3 linked regions of the Pelodiscus sinensis genome follow. The protein of the gene in region 2 purifies or fractionates together with the protein of the main gene of each other region. This does not show direct contact. Links are inferred from orthologs where the notes say so. Each region holds a gene or a part of one and is shown on either strand. Other genes may lie near its edges.

The links. Proteins that work in one complex are often made in the same cells at the same time.
Region 1: the proteins of PPP2R2B (region 2) and MTCL1 purify together in Homo sapiens (affinity purification with mass spectrometry; 4 studies listed by BioGRID and IntAct, with this or other methods). This does not show direct contact. The link is inferred for Pelodiscus sinensis from reciprocal best matches to the Homo sapiens genes PPP2R2B and MTCL1.
Region 3: the proteins of PPP2R2B (region 2) and IER2 purify together in Homo sapiens (affinity purification with mass spectrometry; 3 studies listed by BioGRID and IntAct, with this or other methods). This does not show direct contact. The link is inferred for Pelodiscus sinensis from reciprocal best matches to the Homo sapiens genes PPP2R2B and IER2.

Annotation. Positions count from the first base shown.
Region 1 is NC_134712.1:84,712,838-84,719,890, forward strand, and holds the start of MTCL1 (microtubule cross-linking factor 1), read left to right. Parts: upstream 1-4,034; 5' UTR 4,035-4,658; coding exon 4,659-5,624; intron 5,625-7,053. UniProt on the Homo sapiens protein: Microtubule-associated factor involved in the late phase of epithelial polarization and microtubule dynamics regulation.
Region 2 is NC_134727.1:20,810,587-20,817,687, forward strand, and holds the start of PPP2R2B (serine/threonine-protein phosphatase 2A 55 kDa regulatory subunit B beta isoform), read left to right. Parts: upstream 1-4,009; 5' UTR 4,010-4,315; coding exon 4,316-4,394; intron 4,395-7,101. UniProt on the Homo sapiens protein: The B regulatory subunit might modulate substrate selectivity and catalytic activity, and might also direct the localization of the catalytic enzyme to a particular subcellular compartment.
Region 3 is NC_134729.1:13,737,711-13,744,682, reverse strand, and holds IER2 (immediate early response gene 2 protein), read right to left. Parts: upstream 2,789-6,972; 5' UTR 2,597-2,788; coding exon 1,937-2,596; 3' UTR 520-1,936; downstream 1-519. Other genes in the region: STX10 (syntaxin-10), read left to right, coding at 6,194-6,228, 6,788-6,957. UniProt on the Homo sapiens protein: DNA-binding protein that seems to act as a transcription factor. Involved in the regulation of neuronal differentiation, acts upon JNK-signaling pathway activation and plays a role in neurite outgrowth in hippocampal cells.

The DNA of each region.
Region 1 (7,053 bases), on a different chromosome or scaffold from region 2:
ACACCCTGGTATGAGAGATGTGTATGAGGCTATGTGTAGACTGCAGGGTTAAACTCTGCTGCATCCAGGGAACACGTCCGCTTTTTCAGAAGTTTCCAAAAAAGCGGGCATTTTTATCATCTCTGTATTCCTCTCTGTAGCTATGTCTAGGCTGCAGGCTTCTTTCGGAAGAAGCTTTTCTAGAAGAGATCTTCTGGAAAAACTTCTTTCCAAAGAGAGCATCTACACAGCAAAAGCACAACAAAAAAGCAATGTGTTTTTTCAAAAGATAGCGTCCACATTGATTGGACGCTATCTCGCATTTCGGCTGTGATTACTGTGGATGGAGTGGCCACCAGGACACCTGTGCTTTTTCCTGGAGACTTCTTCTTTTGGAAAAAAAAACCTCTTCCCTTTCCACACATGCCGTTTTCCAAAAGAGCTCTTTTGGAAAAAGGCTTCTTCCTCATAGAAAGAGGTTTATTACTGTTGGAAAAACCCCTGTGGCCTTTCAACTGTCTATAGAAAGAATGCAATTGCAGTGTCGATATAAATGTAGTTTTTCCGGGACAACGGCTCTTTTTGTAGACATACCCAAGTGAGAGGAAACAGGGATGTTCTGAAAGAGGAGGGTTTTCTGAAATTTGGCCCCGTGTAGATGAGCCAAGTTTCAGAAAACCTTCTTCTGAAAAAAAAAAAGCTGTAAAACTCTGCCATCTAGACATAGCCTGAGTCACCCTCCATGTGTGAACACTAAATCCTTATAGATAAGGTAAATAAAAATAATCCAACTACACAGCATTGCTTTCTGACAGGGGCTCAGTTGACTTGATATTGGCTGCTGTTGAGTTAGCTTGAATATGGGTAATTTTGCCAGGTGTACAGTATTCAGTATAGGGAAATATGGTCACCCTATTTCCATAGTAATGTAAAGCCTTAGTGGGCATTATATACACAGCAGGGGAATTGGGGGGATTAAGCCCTAATACAGGGGATTAGGCCCTAACACTAGAGTACGCATACCACAAAAACCTGACAAATGTAATCAGTCAGTCAGGTGCTCAGTAAGGATTACCAATATTACATTTCTTGTTTACTCATTTAATAGACAACCACATTCAGCCTTTTACCCTTCCAGAGCAATGTAAACAGGTCTTGGTGTAAATGAAAATTAGGCCTTTATTGTAATGTATGTTTTGCTGTCTGTTGCTTTATTTCTTTTATATAGGCTTTTTGTTCCTTTGTTTTGCTTGAATAGTGGTGTAAACAAATCCAGTTGATGTTGTAGTACCCTGTGTATTGTATTCTGGCACCTGCAATTATTCTCTTCAGGAGACTGTGACAGTAGAGTATGCAGTGACAAAACAGCCTTTTTAAACCAAAGCATTTTATTTCCATAGTAGAAACAAAGCATTACAATGAAAGGGATTTGATATGCCTCTTACCTAAAGGTAAGACAAGAAATACCTGCTCAGAAATACCTATGTTTAGAAGAGCAACCTATAACAGCAAAAGCTTGGTAACCCAAGCAGTCCTAACTTCTTCAGCAATTCCAGCAACTCCTTTCCTGCCCTGGCATTCTCTTAAAGTGTTTGCCCAGAAATGGCTTATCTTTCTTCCCTGCAGGTTTGTTTTACCTTACATCACCCTATGACACTAAACCAATGTATTCATACAGTATACAGTTCAATTGCCAGGTCAATATACAGTATTTCTTAATTAGAGCAGAACAGCTCAATTTCTGTCATGAGACACTTAATTCAAAACAGAGGAAGTGGGAGGTATCAAGGAGCTTTATTCTATGCTTAAAAAATAAAGCAGAATGGTGGTGGCAACATATACAGAGCAAAGGAAACCCTGTGAGATCGAAGTTATGGGAAGATCTATCACTAGTAGCAGTTTTCATGATAATTAACATGACTTAGGGAGAGAGTAAACAATGGCTAGCTACAGAACACAACGTTTTACAAAAAGAGAACAGGTGCATTGTGAACATGTACCGTTCCAATCATCCACTGATAATTATGGCAACAAGAAAGCAGCAATACAGCTGCCTGTTAGAAAAGATTGAGATATATAATGATGTGTTACAAAGGCCACTGCATTGAAGTGCTGCTGCTAAACAGAGGTCAAAGCAGAGTCACTTCATGTTGGTCCTGCTGACACTTCTCTATCCTGTGCAATTAGTAATCAGTGAATACTCATCTTCTGTGCTAGAATAGAAGAGCTGGCTTAAAGCTAAAAACACGGGTATCACTTGCAAAAGGAGCTGAACTGATGTCTCCGGAGACCAATCTTCTCTTTTTGGGTAGGACATGCACCGACAGGCAGCAGCAAGTGCAAGCTTCGTCACACTGCTCAGAAATACCTTTTAGGATGTCTTTAGAAGAGCAGCCTATAACAGCAAAAGCTGGTCATTTTTCTACAGCTGAAGCTATCAGAAAAAAAATCTAAATTTCTCAAGAAAAAACATTATCTGCCTCACCATAAGGGTCTGATCTAATGCTCATTGAAATAATTTTAAACGTGTGCATTCTCTGCAATAGGTATTGGACCTGGTTCTAACAGCAGGAGAAAAGAAATTCACCCCCAGACATTCCATAATTTCCTCAGACTTTTCAATCAGACCTCTTCCAAAGTGTTGTCTCCTTGTGGAAGTTCCAGTCTCTTGTTTTAGGTTTGAGAAAAAGCAACAACACAACTGAGGCAGAATCAAAGCACAAACGGCTTTGCTCCTGACAACCTCCAGTGGAATGGTCAGTTTTAGATTGCCACTAAGCAATTCCAGAATTTAGCCACCCAAACATATCTAAGAGATTTTTGTGGGGATTTACTGCAGTGTTGCTTGCAAGTGGTTGCAGACACTAGTTTTGTCACATACAGTGCTATTCTTTATTACAGCCTTTCATAATCACATTCTTTGCAAAACAATATACATTACAAAATACAATGTCTGTGTAGGCACAGGCAACCATTAATATGCTCAGCAATAGCTCATACATACCATTGGCCATAAAAACCTCTCCTACTGAAAAAGTAAACTTTCCTCAGGCTACCACTTATCACAATTCTTTAATAAATAAAATTGCCAAGAGGTCTTTAAAGATATACATCACCCCAGTTTCTTGAATGTCTCATCCAGAGAATGGTACCAATATTGCAATACCTTCTCTACTGCACTGCAGCAGCAGATACAGATATAAATCTAAATTCCAGTGTGGCACTTGAACTCAGAGGCAGGCGCTATCCACTGGTTAGCATGCGCTGACTCTCTGGGAGGGATGAGTGGTTATCTGGCTTTCTTACATTCAGCAATCCTTGCGACTCCCACCTTTCATAGTAAGATACTGCATTTTGAATATTGAGTGAGACATTCAACAGTGCCAAAGAATGTTAAGCACCCAACTTCCAGTGACTAGAGAGCTGGACCATGAAGTCACACAGGCACGTTTTGAAAGAGCCTTCTATGCCAAGCTTTACACAGGAATGAATTAAGCCTCCCAGCACCTTTGTGAGATATGTATTTATTTACTATCCTCTTTTGACAGATGAGAACAGTGAGTCAGCAGAAGAGCCAGAAATCTCCTGTCTCTCTCTATGCTTAAACCACTAGATTGGGCAGGTCCCTTTTTGTGCCTTAATTCCTCCTTCCTTTCATTTAATATGTAGATACCTTTCCAATGTATCTCTTTACTGTTTTATACCCCGGTAAGCACCAAAGGGACTGTTCCATCCATTTTTTATTTCAGCACATAGCCAGCTACTGATCTTCTGGATAACTAGCTTTTACTGGTGTCTTCAGCAAGAGAAACTGCAGGTAGCAGATTGTTATTGAGGCAAACCTGTTGGGAGAGATTATTTGCAAAGCAGTGAAGTGCTAAAAAACATATTTAACCTAATAGCTGAAGTATGAAATGTCCTTCTATCTGGATTTATAGGTAGTAACTAGTCCAGGAGGCGTTATAAACACGCATACAGGGAGCTCTAGGAAAAAGTGGCTCGCACAGAGCAGTTTGGCTCGGTGACAGCGGGGGGAGGATCATGCGCACAGACCGGGGAAGCGTCAGGAGCGGAGAGAGAGAGAGACAGCAGGCTTTGCAGTTTCTCTATTTCAGCAGGAGGAGGAAGGACCCTGGGAAGATTGTAGGGCGCCGCAGGCGAGAGAGAAGGAGGGATGGGAGAGAGATGGGGTAGCCGCTGGGGGCGGAGGAATGAGGGTGTGTGAGCTCAGGGGAAAGAAGAGGAGGACGTTGGAAAACAAACAGTCATTCGCCTCGGACCAAAGGAAAAGCGAGTGGATGGCTCGGGCTGCAAAACAACTTGGTGCTGCATCAGGCTGAGCCGGGGAGCGCGGCAGGGAAGGAGAAAGCTGCCAGCCTGCCACTAACGGATTTGCCTGCATGTGATTGAACCGAGCCAGCGCCGGAAAGAGACGGAGGAGGGTGGGGGCTGCGCGGAGGGGCGAGGGTGGGGGTCAAAGAGGAAAAGTGTGAGGCTCGTGGCTGGGGAGCGGCAGAAGTGATGAGAAGACAAGCGGCGCGGCTGGGGGAGGCTGCTCGTGCTGCCGCGCTGTGCCCGGAGGCTGGCTGCCGCTGCCATTCCTGTGGGTGGCCAGGATTAAAGAGCCTCAAGTGCCCCACACCCCCTCGGCTGCGGCTGCTTCCTCCTCTGCCTGGACCATGGAGACTTTAAATGGCACCAGCCCCAGTGAGCCCCTCAAGCAGCCGCAGCAGCAGAGCCAGCACCACCCCTACAGCGAGAAGAAGCGACTGAACCGAGCCCCTTCCCCAGCCAGGCCCTTCCTCAAGGATCTCCACGGCCGGGCATCCTCCGCCAAGCCCCCGCCGGTGCCTCCCAAATCCCCCAGCCTCTCGGGGAAGCCGCCGCAGCCGGGCCCCTCGCCCCAATCCGCCGGGCTCCTGGCCACCCAGAGCCGCCTCTCCAGGCGCAGCGGCTCGCAGGGCGCCAAGGCAGCGGCAGCCGCTGGGGCGGGCGGGCGAACGGGCAGCGCCAAAGCCGCCCTGTGGAGCAAGAAGGCGTCCCGGGCCCAGGAGCAGGGGGGCGGCAAGGCCGGGGCCAGGCAGGAGCCGGGCCACCCGCCCGGCAAAGGCAGGAAGGGGAAGAGAAGCGCCCCCTTGCCGCAGGGTGGCTCCCTGGCCCCGGCCGCCGCGCCCGGACTGGGCAGCGGCCATGCGGCTCCGGCCAGGCTCAGCCACACGGACAGCAGCTCCGACCTGTCCGACTGCCCCTCCGAACCGCTCTCCGACGAGCAGCGCCCGGCCCAGGCCGCCAGCAGCGACGCCGAGTCCGGCACCGGCTCCAGCGACCGGGAGCAGCCGCCGCCGTCTGCCCCGGGCCGAGCGGGCACGCCGCTGCCCGGCGCCAGCCAGCCTCCCCCGGAGAGCAGCGCCGCCGCGGCGCGGCCCGCCCCGCCCTGCAGCCCGCAGCCCGCCTCGCCCGCCCCCGGGGCCAGCCCAGGCAGCGCGGCGGGAGACGCGGCGAGCTGGGGGCGAGCCGCGGAGAGCGCGCCCGGCCCGGGGGCCATGCGGCTGGGCAGCCGCGCGCCCGCCCCCTGCCAGCGGGCCGAGGAGGAGGAGCTGCTGCGGGAGATCGAGGAGCTGCGCTCGGAAAATGACTATCTCAAGGTAGAGCCCGCCGGGGGGGAGGAGGGGCAGGGGTGGGATGGGTTGGCGGGAAGGCGCCTCCCCCTCCCCAGTGACTAGCGGTGGAGCAGGTGCACGTGGCTGGGTGGGGCTGGAGCTGGAGGGGGTAGGTGGCAATTGTTGGATGGGCATTTTCCTTCTGCAGGTCGGGGGGGGGGGGTGTGAGGGGTCTGGAAGAATGTTTACAGTGGGAGTGCTGTCCTCCACTGAGCTTAACTGTATATAATGGAAACCAGCAACACCCGCACCCAAGGCCCCGCAGCTGTGGTGGGGTGGATGGGCCAAGGGGAGTGTTCATTGAGCCTATGGAGATCAGTAGCTAAGCGCTTGGCAGTCAACTAGTTGGCAGTGCCGCAAAAACTGGCACTTAAGGATATACAGGGGCCCTGACTGCTCTGATCCTTTGTCTCCAGTACAGTTCTAAGCACTGCGGTAGGCTGGATAAAACTTTTGGAAGATGGGGGTGTGTGGATGGCTTTGTTTTGAGTCTTATAAAATCTAGTCTTCCATAAAAGGCCTGCTGGACAGGGAAATCTGCTGAAAGGAATCCAGTACATTTCTCCCAAGTCAGCCTGCTGCAACAGAAACCATAAGGAGTAGATTCTTTAATTCAGATGCAGTAATTGTGTTAGTCAAAATTCAGAAGCTATTTTTCTGAAATCTAACAGTATTTTTAAAGTCAGCATCTCTTGGAAGAAAATCACCCACCAAATCAAAATTCCGGTTTTACTTGTTATATTCACCAAAGCCTTTAAAATAACATGGAAACACAGAAGGGCTATGTCTACACTGCCAGCTTCTTGCAAGGAACTGTTTTGCGCAAGAGCTTGTCCACACTGCCATGTACTTTTGCGCAAGAAATGTTCTTTTGTGCAAGAGTGTCCATGGCAGTGTGGACGCTCTCTTGTGCAAGAAAGCTCTGATGATCATCTTAGCCAGAGGGGTTTCTTGCGCAAGAAACCCCAGTTGCCCGTCCACATTGCCTTTTGCGCAAGAGCTCTTGCACAAGAGGGCTTATTCCTCGTGGGGAGAGGAAGAACTCTTGCGCAAGAAGCCCTTTGTTCCGACACTTTAATGTAAATTTACTTGCGCAAGAACGCGCGTGCAATGTAGACGCTCTCCAAGTTTTTGTGCAAGAACAGCTGTTCTTGCGCAAGAAGCCTGCAGTGTAGACATAGCCAAGAAGTGCATGAGTATTTGACCTTTCGTCAGTAGTGTGAAGATCTCCCTTCAAGCTGTGCCATGTCAAAGCTAAAAAAGGCAGCCAAGGAACAAATAATGCATGTGATCCTGTTTCTCTATAAAAGCCTGATTTGTGCAGTCTCTGGATGCATATAAATCCAAGGCAGCTTGCACTGTAAGGCTGTTAGGTTTAGCTGGTGTGTGATATTTCAACAAGCCCCAAACTTCC
Region 2 (7,101 bases):
CCCGGAGAGGCTCGTCCTTCCAGGTACAAATGAGCACGGAGTCTCCCGACTGCAAGCAGTGGACAGGGGCATCCAGCGGAAGAGGCTGTGAGTCTTTGGTGTACCCTGTGAAGAGAAGAGAGAGCAGCAGACAGAGAGCACATATACTGAGATAAAAAGCCGCATCCCAGTTCCCACTCCCCTGCCAGAGCCGGTGTCCCATTCATAGGCCATGCCCTTCCAAACATAATTTCAAAGGGGCTAAGCCCTAATCTACCCTTTGGGAGAGCGCGGATGTGGAGCAAAACAATGGGCAAAGCATCAGGACACCGTAGGGAGGCTTCTTGACAGATTTTCGAGAGGTGACGCTTAAGGGTCTGATTTGTGAGTTCCACCACTCCACTGGCCTGCGGTCGCCATGGCGTGTGGAGCTTCATTAACCCGTTCATTAACCGCCCTTAAGTCCTGGACTAGTCGATATGTGCCATCCGGCTTCCGGACAGGCAAGATGGGGGTGTTCCAGGCTGACTGACATTCCTGAAGTGTACTGCAGCTTAAGAACCGGTCTATAGTCTCCTGCAACCCTTCTCTGGCTTCCCTCTTAATCGGATACTGTTTGATCCGCACCGGGCTTTTGCCTGGGAGGAGCTGAATGCTGACAGGGGTTTGGTGTGTGGCCTTTCCCGGGACCCCTGATGACCATACTAGGGGGTACACCTGATCCTCCCACTGGCTCCACTCAGGGGCTTGCACGGCAGAGGGCTCAGCTGCCAGAGTCATTATCCAGGCATTCTCGGGGGGTAAGGTTAGGGTTATTTCATCCTGAGTGAAATGCAGGGTGGCACCTAAGCGACAAAGCAGGTCCTGTCCCAGCAGCGGTGTTGGGCACTCGGGGAGATAGACCAGCTTGTGAGTTATAGTTCTGTTTCCCAGAGTGCATTCTGCTGGGGCATACACTGGACACTGGGCTCCTTTTCCTGTGGCACCCACCACAGTGAGGGAGTCCGCCATGGGCAGCTGAAGGGGTTGGTTTACGGCGGTTCGTGCCGCCCCAGAGTCCACTAAAAAGTCTATTTCCGAATTTCCCACCCTCATTTTTACTCGGGGTTCCGGGGGCAGGATGATCTATTTCCCCTGACACCCTATTCATGAGTCTCTGCTGCCATCATGGGGGCACATTCTCTTTTGGGGCATTCATTTTTCCAGTGTCCCTCCTTTTGACACAAGGCACACTGGTTGCGACCCAGACGTCTTTCCTGCAGGACAGGGCACTTGGGCCACATTCACATGCCTTTACCCGCCTTTTTGAAATGTCATATGTGCACATTCATATATGCAATGTGGGAGTATTCCATGAGTGGCAGGGTCATAGTCAGAATAGGAAACAATAGTGCTCTGATTCTCCTAAGGAGGGAAACTCCTTAAGGACCGTTACCAGTTGATATAGTTTAGCGGAGGCCCTAGGCTGCTCTAATCCGCACATATGACTGGGCTGAAATAAAAGTATCCCCAAATGTAGGGACTACAAATAACTCATTGTCAATTCACAACTACCTCTATACTTTGCTGTGCTCTGTTTGAGAGGTTGGACTCAAGAGAGAACTTAGTGGTTATTCACATGATACCATGGAACTATGTATAAGAATGAACCTAATTTTCCCGTGTCGTTTCTATTGGCTATGACATTAATCACTTCCTAAAATAAACTGTAATAATAAACAGTAATATAGAAATCTTTTCATTATTTGTAGTCCAGTCCCAGATTTTTTTGTTGTTGCATTTTCAGGGATTTATTTTGACGAACGGCAATGAAAAGGAAAATAAAACTCCATGTTTTTCCATGCACCTGCACAACTGTTTCATGTCTATTGGTTGTCTTTTGTATACAAGGCAACTGTGATTAAATCCGCGGATGACGAGAACTGGAGATCCCTCCACACAGGTGGAAAGTCCCAAACTACAAAAGTAACCTGGAGTGATTAGAGAAAGTGAAAAGGAGGGCTGCAGGTAACAGGGGCAGATTTGGCCCTGATAAATGCACAGCTCTATACCCATGTATACCAAGCAAGCTGCTGCAGTGAAGGTGTGGAACAGGGAATGCACATATATGTGTGCATATTTCTGTCTTAAGAAGTGGAACACAAGGTGAACAAGTGTGAGAAGGACTGATCTAGACACATGTTCTTGAATGCAAGAGGCCTCCAGGATGATCTGGATGCTGAAGTGTTTGATTTACAGCACTGACTGAAGAGAATCAAGGGCACAGTAAAAGGTATTTTCATAGTGTGGTTTAATTTTCATAATACGGTTTTTAATATCCCTTTTAATATTTCTTGGTTACTCCTATGCCCTAAATTGCTGTAAAAATATTAACCAAATACCTGACTACTATGGGAACACCTAATGGTACTCTCATGTGTGGAGAAGGTAATTTGCTCATATAGAAATTGCTGTCATTCTTACTGAGGCATTTGTAACTTTACATTTGCACTGGAAATTGCTGGGTGCTGAAATTACTGTTTCATGTTTGTGTTTTGCAGAACCATACAGCTATAGAAGCTAAAATTAGTTAGTATGCTCCTCACAGGCCACCAGTTACCAGAAAACCTAGTTATAGTCCCCTTTCCATATCATCCTCACATCCTTTTTGGGCTGTCTGTCAGTTGTTTGTACATAATTTGCAAAGCATGTTGAGTTCCTTTGAAATGAAACAAAATGCAGGACAATGTAGCACTTTAAAGACTAACAAGATGATTTATTAGATGATGAGCTTTCGTGGGCCAGACCCACTTCCTCAGATCAAATAGTGGAAGAAAATAGTCACAGCCATATATACCAAAGGATACAATTTAAAAAAAGTGAACACATATGAAAAGGACAAATCACATTTCAGAACAGGAGGGGAATGCGGGGGGGGGGGGGGGGGGGAAGGAAGGAAGGTAAGTGTCTGTGAATTGATGATATTAGAGGTGGGGAGAGTGGGATGTCTGTGAGCTAGTGGTATTAGAGGTGATAATTGGGGAAGCTATGTACATTGGACAAACATCTCAGACACTTCGCCAAAGGATTAATGCCCACAAAACAGATATCAGACAAGATCACAAAGAAAAAACAGTTTCTTGCCATTTTAACCAGAAAGGACTCTCTCTCAATGACTTAACCACCTGCATTCTGCTACAAAGACCTTTTACATCTACACTTGAAAGGGAATCCTCTGAACTGTCATTCATGTTAAAATTCGACACTCTCCGGGAAGGAATGAACAAACACTCAAACTATCTTACCCATTACCAAGATAGCTTCCCCAATTATCACCTCTAATACCATTAGCTCACAGACATCCCACTCTCCCCACCTCTAATATCATCAATTCACAGACACTTACCTTCCTTCCTCCCCCCCCCCCCCCGCATCCCCCTCCTGTTCTGCAATGTGATTTGTCCTTTTCATATGTGTTCACTTTTTTTTAATTGTATCCTTTGGTATATATGGTTGTGACTATTTTCTTCCACTATTTGATCTGAGGAAGTGGGTCTGGCCCAGGAAAGCTCATCATCTAATAAACAATCTTGTTAGTCTTTAAAGTGCTACATTGTCCTGCATTTTGCTTCAGCTACCCCAGACTAACACGGCTACATTTCTATCACTATTTGAAATGAAAGGCTCCCTGTAAATATAGGATGTTTTTATGCTGCAGCTATGGTTAAAAACTAAATGCCTTTTTTGTTTTTCAACACTCCCCCAGTTCTTTAATAAAACAAGGGCAGAAACCATTTCCGTGCATCCTCTCTTATTTTTCTTGAAATCCACATCTTCCCTGGGTTATTTATTTTAACAGCTGCCTTCCCTCAGATGACAAAGTTATAAAGCTTTGGTTACATTAAGACCTTTACCCAGAATGAGATAAGGTCACAGAGTCTCCCTGTTCCCAGACTCTGCTGTTTTCCCTTCTTTCTAAGAAGACAAACAGAGACCTAAAGGAGAGCAGGATATTGCGGGCAGTGTCGTTCAGGGTGTGTGTTTACAGGCAGGACTGACTTAGTCAGCAAATCCTGCTCTGATGAGCTCCAGCCAATGAAGAGCCTATCCCAGCTTGCTTGGGGGCTTCAGAGTTCGAGCAGCATGCATGCAGAAATGTGAGGCGGCTCTCTTCCTGGTGCTTGCTGCTGATAGCAAAATGGGGTCCGGCGACAGCGATTACTTGGGTTTCCCAGCTCTGCAGACCCAGGAGGGGTCCTGTAATGCACCTACCATGCGGTCTGCTTTGAAAGCAGACGGACTTCTCATGGACTGAGGAGACTTGGTTTATTTTAATTTTTAAATTTATTTTTGGAAGATGAAATGCTTTTCTCGTTACCTGCCTTACATCTTCAGACCTCCGAACACCGTCCTCGCCTGCAGCTGCCACACAGAAGGTACAGCTCAGTAGTGGACGACTGGTGGGAGGAGGGGAAATGTGGGGTGTGTGGAAAAAGTGGGAGAGGAGCATGACTGCCCCAAAAGCTCTGATGACATTGCCTTTTGCTGCTAATACACGGCAGTGATTGCTGGCGAAAGCTTACGTGTGCCAGACTTAGAAATTAGTTCAGCCTTGTGGAAAGCAAGGGGACACTGTTATCATTAGCTAGCCATTGTCGAGAGGAAGACTGGTTTGAACGTTTAGCAGATTATTTCTGCAAATATTCATGATTTTTCTACTATGTTTACACTTACTATGCAAACTAGTAATCAGACCTGATTTTAAGAAAAACTGTCACTAGATATTTACCAGAAATTTTTACAGGCTTATACACTTTTCTCATTGACAGTTTAACTCAGCTGTGCATTTCCAGGAAAGCAATTAAGTACATTTTAGCATTTTACTGGTTTGTGTAGTATTCACTCTTTTACTCCTTCACTTGAGCCCTTTTCAGCTCTTAGCAGTAAGGGTGTGCAGCACCTAATATTAAATCTAAGGTTTGAACTTAATACCCTTGATTTTAGTGGGACAGCTACTTCCCCCTTCCATAAGGAGCTTTCTCTCCTGCTAGTTTATAATCATGTATGTATGTCTATCATGTGTGAACTAGCAGGCAATTTTGTGAATCACCTACAATAATTTCTGACAGCCAGGAAAAATAAAAAAATTATACTGATATTAATTCCCTATTTGTAATTGAAATATTTTTTCACACATCTTATACAATGAAAGATTTGTAGGAAAAAATCTAAACATGTTTATCAATGAATGTCTAATTAGACAGAGTATTGCTTTGCAAGTAGTGGAAAGTTGATGTGAGTGAGAAGGTCCAAATCATGCTCTTCCTTGTGCTAGTGTAAGGGCCCAATAATGCAATCATTACCATGACATTGCTCAAGGTAGAAGCATCACACTGAGTATCACGTGTTTACAGAGTGAGGCCTTAACACTAGAAAAAGTCTTCATTTCAGTGGAGCTATTCTTAATATATAGAGTCTCACAAGGATAACAGAGAACACTTTGGCCCCATGGAAGTTTTAAATAAGTGCTTAAATGAAGTATTACGGGGTGTGTTGGCTTACATAGTTTGTTTTAGAAATCAAATTACCTATTTTCATTCTATAATTTCTGATTTTTTTCCATATTGGGAGCCAAAATTATAGGAGATAGAAGTGATTTGACTTCAATAAGAGTATCTAGCGATACTTTGCATAAATAATTTTCAAGTGAAATTATTTAAAGTGGAAGGTTTCAGTGATGATTTATTTGCTTAGGGTTTTTTTTATTAGTTATGTTTACATTGAATGATTTCAGTTTTCCTTTATATTTGCCAATTGAATGGTGAGCTACAACACTTAAACAGTTTGAAAATGTTTTTGCTCACCTGTTGACATGAGATGGATCTAGGAGAAGGGTGGGCAATAAGTTCCGATGATGGGGGCACTCCAAGAATTTAAGTGGTCAAAAGCCATACTTTTTGATGAGTATGTGTGTGATCTGGGATGGAGATTGGGTGAAGAAGAGAACTTGTGGTAGAGGATTGGGATACAGGAGGGAATGTGGGATTTGGGAGGTAGTTTGGATGAAGAAGCAGATTGTGACCTGGAGCAGGGGATAGGGGCGCAGGAGTAGGGAGCAGTGCAGGAGAGGATTCTGACCTGGGGGAGGGATGTAAGAGGGGTGCAGAGTCTGGAAGGGAGTTGTGACCTGGGGCAAGGGTGCAGAGGATTTGCATGCAGGAGGGGTTGTAACCTGGGGAAGGGTGCAGGAGCAGGGCAGAAGGCTGGGGTGCAGGAGAGAGTGTGATGCAGGTGCAGGCTCTGGCTGGGAGGTTCTTACCCTAGGTGGCTCCCAACCAGCAACCCAGCATGCATGCCAGTCTGAAGCAGCCGATTATTGGGATCACGTGCATTTCTGCACCACGCACCCTTTGAGAAGGGGCCTCTGCATGCTATGTGTGCTGCGAGCACAGCCCAAACATGTGGTCATAAGTCTACCTGCTACCATTCAATGTAAAAATAATAGCAATTTGTAATGAATGTGAATTTTGTTTAATAAGGACCTTGATCCTGTGCAAGTGGCCCCATTGAAGCCAGAGTGGTTACTTGCACAAGCATTATTACATGTGTAAAATATTTGTAGGGTTGAGTAATGTATGTACAGTTTTTGCCTATCCTGACGTATATGGGATCACTAACTTTTGTACATTTTGAAAATTGATGACATGAAGGATATTAAAAAAAAATCAGTAGAAGCAAGGGCAAGCTTCTAAAACCAAGCTAAATTTAAGTGTGATGTATTTTCTTGCACACAATTCAAGTTTTCCAAACATGAAATTGAGTATATGTCTTCACTGAAGAATTAACTTGGATGATTGGCGCCTGGATTAACATATCCCTCTGAGGAACCACAGTGCAAAGCCATACTTGTGTGACTGTGTCCTTTACTGCTGATGCACTTGCACATATTTGTCACTAGGACATGGGGTCATGCCCTGAAGTTTTTTGTGCTGCAATAAACTTAGCCATTCTATGATTCTTTCTGGGGAATTTTGGGATAACTTGTTCTTCGGAGTTCCTGAGGTGGTGGTGTGGAAATTTATGAAGGCACTGGAGGACTGTCAAGCACTTCAGTGATTTAACCTGCACCCTTAGGATACGTCT
Region 3 (6,972 bases), on a different chromosome or scaffold from region 2:
GTACAGGCCCCTGCTGCCACGCGCAGCTCCCTCCGGGAAGTCTCGCCAGCTGTTTCAGGGCACACACGGCCATTAACTTCCCCCCTCCCGCACTGGCTAGATTCCTGTGTTTCTAAGGGAATTTCGAGCCAGTTACCCAGCCATTTAAATGGCTCCTGTTTACACTCCCACCCCCATCCCCATCCAAGGGCAGTTGCACAAGCTGGTGTTTTGTCAGCCTGCCCCAGGGTCACCCCACAGCCCAGCAGGGGCAAAGGTCACAAAGGGATATAAAGGCCAAGACTGAGGGGGGAGGGGAAGAGGTCCAGGCAGCAGCCCCCCCCCCCCCCATGAATCCGTCTCCTCCCACAGCAGCACCTGGGCCCTACAGTAATCAAAGGATTGAGCCTAGGGAGGGGTTAGGAGCCCATGTGGGCATTGAGGTTGGCCAGCCTGGATAAGCCCCCTCAACTTAAGCCAGGCCTTTTCAAAACCACCCATTTCCCACGTTCCTGACAAACCCGGAGAGCCACAACTGGGCCAGTTTCACAAATGGTCTTTATTTCATTAACAAAAAAATAACGACAGCGGAGGAAACCCCAGCCCAGCCCAGCCCAGCCTGCAGTTCCCCCCCAATAAAAAAAGAACTAGAGAAATAACTTACAAACATTCAAGACATGTGGGTAACACACTTGGTGAGGGCAGGATTGTTTTCACCCCTTTGCCAGTTTCCTGGGCAGACAGCTAGGAAACTGGGGAACCCAAGAATTATTTGTTAACACGTACATGTAAAAGCATCGACAATCGACCGCCAGTTCTCAGTGGTTTACAATGGGATTGGAACATGGAATAGTTTCTCCTTTGAAATTCTTGGGGGGCATGCGGTCAGTCTTAGACACCCTCTTTTTTCTGTCCTCAGCAATTCAGACCAAGTTTAAGACTCACATTTTATGCGGGGCCGTTCAACCACCACTCCAGAGAACAGGCCAACTCCCTTTGCCTTTCGCCCAGACTGAAAGAGAAATAAAAACCTTCCAGCCTCTGTGACTTCTCTCATTTTCATTTGTCTTGGAGTTTTTAAGAGCCAGCCAGCCCTGACTCAGTTCCTCTTTATGGGGCTGAATGAGTCAGGCTGACACCCACTCCCCCCCCCCCTTGAAAAACCAGCTCCACGTACACACACAACATCTAAAGGTGGCCGAACAGGAAATTCCCCGCTGCCCTGCTACACCCAGCGTGATGCAATGGCTGGTCATATGAGCTGTGTCAGAACTTGTCAGACTGGTTGGAAGTGGGGGGGGGGGGGGGGGGGGTCGTCTCAGAGCTTTTCCTCGGATAAAGAATAAAGGCGGGGGGGGGGGGGTGAAGCACTTTCGAGAAAAGCGTGAACCCCTGAGGAAGGAAACGGGCCTCCCACGACCCCCCCCCGGGCTGGCGAAACCCGCCTGGATCCAGGAGCTCTGGCCTGGAGTATTTCTCGGCTCCGGCTCGGGTTGAAACCCGCCAGCTCGCCCCTCCCCTCCGGCTGCCCCCAGGACCCAGAGCAAGAAGCAGGCCCACGTCTCAAGTTACCGAAGCCCAGCCCGGCCCCCCCAGAGCGCGGGGCGGCAAATAGCACCAGTCAGCCCAAGGCTCGCCCTCCCGGCAGGCCCCCAGTCCCCCCGCACACAAAGCGGAGGCGGCGGCGTCTCTCGCCCCGCTGCGGCCCGGCCCTTTGTCTCGCCTCCCCCCGGTCCCAGCCGGGTGGGGAGGGCAGCGGGCGGGGGAGGGGAGGGGAGAGTCCGATCTTTCTTCCGCCGTCCTCCAGCCTCCTCCTCGCGTGTCTCTCCCGGCCGGCTCCTCGCCCCCTCCTCCTCCAGGGAGAGGGGCTGCGCCCCCCAGCTCCCGCCAGGAGCCGGGCGCGCCGCGGGGCAGCTTCCCGCAGCCACGAGTCCCCCCAAGCGGCGGGGCAGCGGTTTCAAAAGGCCACCACGGCTCGCACCAGGATGTTCAGTACCGCGCCGTCCCCCGGCCGGCAGCCCGGCGTGGGGGGATCGGGGCCCTTGGCCGGGCCGCTCCGCAGTCTGCCGGCGAACTGGTGCTGCAGGACCTTGGCCAGGCTGGGGAAGGGGCCGTCCTGGCCCTGGGGCTGCCGCTCGCCCTCCGCCTCCTCCTCCAGCCGCGCCTTCTTGCTGGGCGCCAGCCCGGCCTCGGCCGCCCCCGGCTTGTCCAGGCTGCTGCTCCGCCGCTTCCTGCTGCCTTTGCCCGCGCCGGGCAACGAGACGCCCCGCGCCGGCCGCTTCCCCGGGGAGGCGGGCGCCAGGGCCGGCTCCCCGCCGCTCTCCTGCGTCTCCATGGGCTCCGTCGCGCCGGGGGCGGCGGCACAGTCCGCGGGGGCCGCCCGCTCCTCCGGCGGGGGTTGGCCGGGGTCGGCCGACTGCTCCGGCGTGCAGGGCGCCTCGCCTCCTGCCTCCGCCTCCTCCAGCTTGGCCGAGAGGTAGAGCTCCCGGGCGCTGCGCATGACGAGCGACAGCTGCAGGCTGCGGTGCAGGCGGAGGCCGCCGCGCTGCAGGCGGGAGTGGTAGAGCTTCCACACCGACATGGTCATGATGCGCTGCGCCTCCTTCTGCGCCTCCATGCCGCGCGCAGGATCGGGCCCTGCCGGAGCTGGGGGGAGGGGCTGCGCCCGGGTCTGCCCACCCCCGCGCCCACCGGGCGAAGCTGCTGCTGCTGCTGCTGCTGCTGCGGCGCCGCCGCCTTCGCTCGCGACTCTCCGCTCCTCCGCCTCCGACCAGCCGCCCGGACTAAGCCCAGCCGCGCCCCGCTCCGCGGCTTTTATACCCCTGCTGATCTCAGCGCCCGGGCCGCCCCCGCCCACTCCCTCAGCCGCATCCGGCCGGTGCAACGCGCCGCCACCCCCAGCCGCCGTGGGGGGAGGGGCGGAAATGCCAGGGCGTGGGGGAGGGGGAGGAAGCCGAAGGGACCCTGCCGGGCAGCCGCTGGCCAAAGCAACCAGGCAGCCGGAGCGCGGGGGGAGGGGGGAGGGACATCCCCAAACTTTGCGCTTCATTGTGCGCGTCCAGCGTGGAGCCCGGGGCTGGTTTGCACGCGCAGCGCCGCGGCCGGAGGGAGCCCCCCCCCCGACGCCAAATGGCCGGGCAGGGCAATCGATGCAGCGGCTCGTGCCCCCTGCGGGTGGGGGCGCGCCCCCGCCTCCAGTGCAGCGCCTCGTGCACGCGCAATGCGACCCACCCCGGCAGCCCCGGGGCCACCCGCGTGGGCAGGGCCGCGCGGCCGGGTCTGCGGGCAATGCCCTGAAATGCGCACGAGGCCAAGCTCTTCGGCGCAACGCAAGCAAGGCGAGCAACGTTGTTGTGTCTGTTACAAGGAGCGAGACCGGCTCTCTGTTTACTGCAGCCTGCCAAATAAATCTCTCCCTGCGTCCAACGCAGCCACACAGCCGCAATAAAACCGCCCTGCGCGGTGGCTGGAATGCAGCTCCAAGGCAAAGGCAAACCCCGTTGTGTGTGTGTAGATAAACAGCGCAATCTGTGTTTAAATCCACGGACTGGAGCAACCGCCCCATTGGCGTGGTGGCTGCAAAACGTGTGTCTGCACAAGGCTCTCTAGCATCTGGTTTCATGCAAATAAACAAACCTTACTACAGCGGATCCCAAATCGGAGCCAGAACTCTTTGTGAATGAAACCGTACTCCTGTGGCGTGCGCCCGATGCGAGCTGCCGTACGGCTCGGCTCGTTACACCCCGCTCCGACTGGCAGACTGCGTGGAGGCCGGCACAGCCCCGCCAACATCGGCTGCGTGTGTGAAACCCGGGGGGGCGAAGCGGTCTGTCCGCAGCTGGATCCCACCCCGGAGGTGGCCCCGTCCAGGCCAGGGCGCGTTAAGCTTCCTGCAGCTGGGGGGGGGGGCATTTTCTGGGTTGTTACAAGTCACCCCCTGGGCACCCCCCGTGGCAATGCAATGGAGCCCAGCTCCTCCGCTGAGGGCCATGTTCTCCCCGAGGCCAACAGTGACACCTTCCCAGCCCGCATGCTTTGCATGGATGCACCGCAACGGGCCTTGCAAGACACCTCCCCTGGCCGGGGGTCAGTGCGGGGGCGGGGGGGGGGGCTTCAGCTAGTTAAAGTTAAGCCCCCGGGCCCCGCCACCCAGAGGATACTCGCTCAGCCAACAGGCCCTTTCCCCCCGCGGGCTCTTTAAGAGGAAGGAAGAAGAGGCGGAGGCTCCGCCCCACTGTTGAGGTCACCCCAGCCTTCCCTGGTTACCGTTTCCATGACTATATTTGGGGCCCATGACGACAGGGGGCGGGCCGCGAATGCGGCGCGCACCAACGTTCCAACCCGGGTTGCGATTGTAGCGCCGCTCGCTTCCTCTTTCCGTATAAGGGCAAGGGCTGGAAGGCCCCATTGCGGGCTATGGGGAGCCTCCTTCCGGGATCCTACCAGGAAAAACCCATCTGCCCGCGCTGCAAATCCCTCCCCCGCAGCCTGCCTCCGCGCACCGCACGTGGGATGCGCCCATCCCCCAGCCAGGCGCCCCAGCAACCCGCCGCTTGCCTGTTACCCCAATCTCCCCCCAGCCAGACCCCGCCTGCCTGTCCCCTCAATCTCTAACTGCCCCTCCTGCCCCTCACCCCCACAACCCCCAATCTCCGCCCAGCCAGTCTCCGCCTGTCTGCCCCCTCTAACTCTCCCCAACTCCCCCTCCTGCCCCTCACCCCCACAGCTCCCTGTGTCCCCCCAGCCAGACCCCACCTGCCTGTCCCCTCAATCTCTAACAACTCCCCCTCCTGCCTCTCACACCCCCAGTCCTTGATCTCCCCCCAGCCACTGCCTGATTGTACCCTCAATCTCTCCCTAAAAACTCCCCTACCTGCCTCTCACCCCCCCGTCTCCAATCGCATCCCAGCCAGCCAGCCAGCCCCCACCTATCAGTCACCCCCAGTCTCCCTCAGTCACCCCTACCTCCCTGTCACCCCCAGCCCTCCCCCATTTACCACCTGTCATCCTAACACCCACACAAACTCTCCACCACCTATCACCCTAAGTACATGACAACCCCTTCAGTCTGACTTGACACAACCAATCCCTTCCCCACATACAACACATCCACCCACAACATCCCCCCGACCCAAGAAGACACAACCTGACTACACACATCCCCATACAGCCCATTTCTCCCACCCACTCACAACTCCCCAACACTACCTAACTTACTCACCATCTGGCTCTACACTTCCACCCCTAACCTCCCCTAACACATCTCCGAGAACTCTCCCCACAACTTGACCAAATACCTGACTGCACACATACCACGTGCGACTCTTCCCACAAGCTACCTATACACCTCACAGGATGCCTGTCCATACCCTCCCCCCAATCTGATTACCAGCATATCACCCCATGCCCCCCCATTGCCTCACCACTCTGCCTGTACACAATCTAGCTGTACACAGCTCACACACATGCCACAAGTCCCCCCACACTCTGACAGGCAACCCCCCTCCTCACAGCAACCCTTGTGGCTCCCCTCAACAAATCGCGCATCCCACAACCTCAGGGCACGCAGCCCCCTCCCCGCTATTGCTCCCAGCCTGCTAGTCTCAAGCGCTGCCTGTCACCCCTCAAAGGCCGGGATCCTGGAGCCGCCTGGGGGCCGGGCTCCCATGGCGTCTGCAGCCAAGAGTCCCGGGAAATCCGGGGGGGGGGGGGCACCAGCAGGGACTAGTCCCACTGGCTGGGCTGGAATGAAATGAACATGGGGGAGAGGAGTCAGACCTCCTGGGTTCAGTGCTCAGCTCTTGGGGGGGGGGGGGGAGCGTAATGGTTGGGGGCGGGGCCGGACGGACTCCTAGGTTCTAGCCCTTGTTGTGGGGGCAGGGAGTGGAGCCTAGTGGCTAGAGTGGGGGAGGGGGAAGTCAGGACTCCTGGGTTCCAGTGCCAGCCCCCCGGCTGGGGTAAGTGGGGGGCCCGGACTCCTGGCTTCAATTTCTCTGCGCGGAGCGGGTCGGGGCCGGGAATTAGGGATCAGCGCAGCCCCCGCCCCGCGGAGGCTGAGAAGGGGGGAGCCGCCACCTCCCCCCCAAGTCCGGGCAGGCCCGCCCCGCCCTCAGCAAAGGCGGCGGCCGCAGCTTCGGGAGGGCAGGGCCAGCGCCGGTCACATGGCGGGGCGCGGCGGGGAGCGGAGCCGGAGCAGGAGCGGGGCCGGGGCAGCATGGCCCTGGAGGACCCGTTCGCTGCCGTGCGGGGGTGAGTTGGCCGCGGCCCGCGCAGGATCGTGCCCCTAGAATATGGGCGGGGAAGCCTCCCCCCCCGGGGAAATCCCCCCCGGGAAACCCCCCCGCCCTCGTGCCCCCCCCCCCGTCCTGGAGAAACCTCCCCGTCCCGCCCTCTCTCCCCCCCCCCGTCCCGCCCCTAAACAGACCCTGCCCCGTCCCGTCTCTCCGCCCCCCGGAAGAAACCTCCTCCCGTCTCCCGCGCCGCTGGACAACCCCCTCCCACCGGCCGCCCCACTTCCTCGCGCCTGGAGAACTCCCCTCCCCCCTCCCCCGCAGAGACCCTTCTCCTATCCCCGTGCCCCACCAGGATCCTCCCCACCCACCCTGTGCAGGAGAGACCCCCTTCCCAGTCCTCGCTGGGAGGGTGCCAGGGCTGCTGGGGGGTCCTGCCTAGTGCGAGATGCAGCCACCTCTGGGGTGGGGACTGAAGAGTAGCGGGGCAAGACCTGGCAGCACCAGGCCACCTTCCTGGGGATCCCTGCCCTGCTCCTCGCTCGCCCCCTCCTCAGCCCCCCTCTCTTTGCCCCCAGGGAAGTGCAGAAGGCTGTGAACACGGCCCAGGGGCTCTACCAGCGCTGGTGCGAGCTGCTGCAGGAGACCCATGTCGTCAGCTCCGAGGAGTTCGACTGGACCACCAACGAGCTGCGCAACAACCTGCGCAGCATCCAGTGGGACCTGGAGGATCTGGAGGAGACCATTGATATCCTTCTGGGGA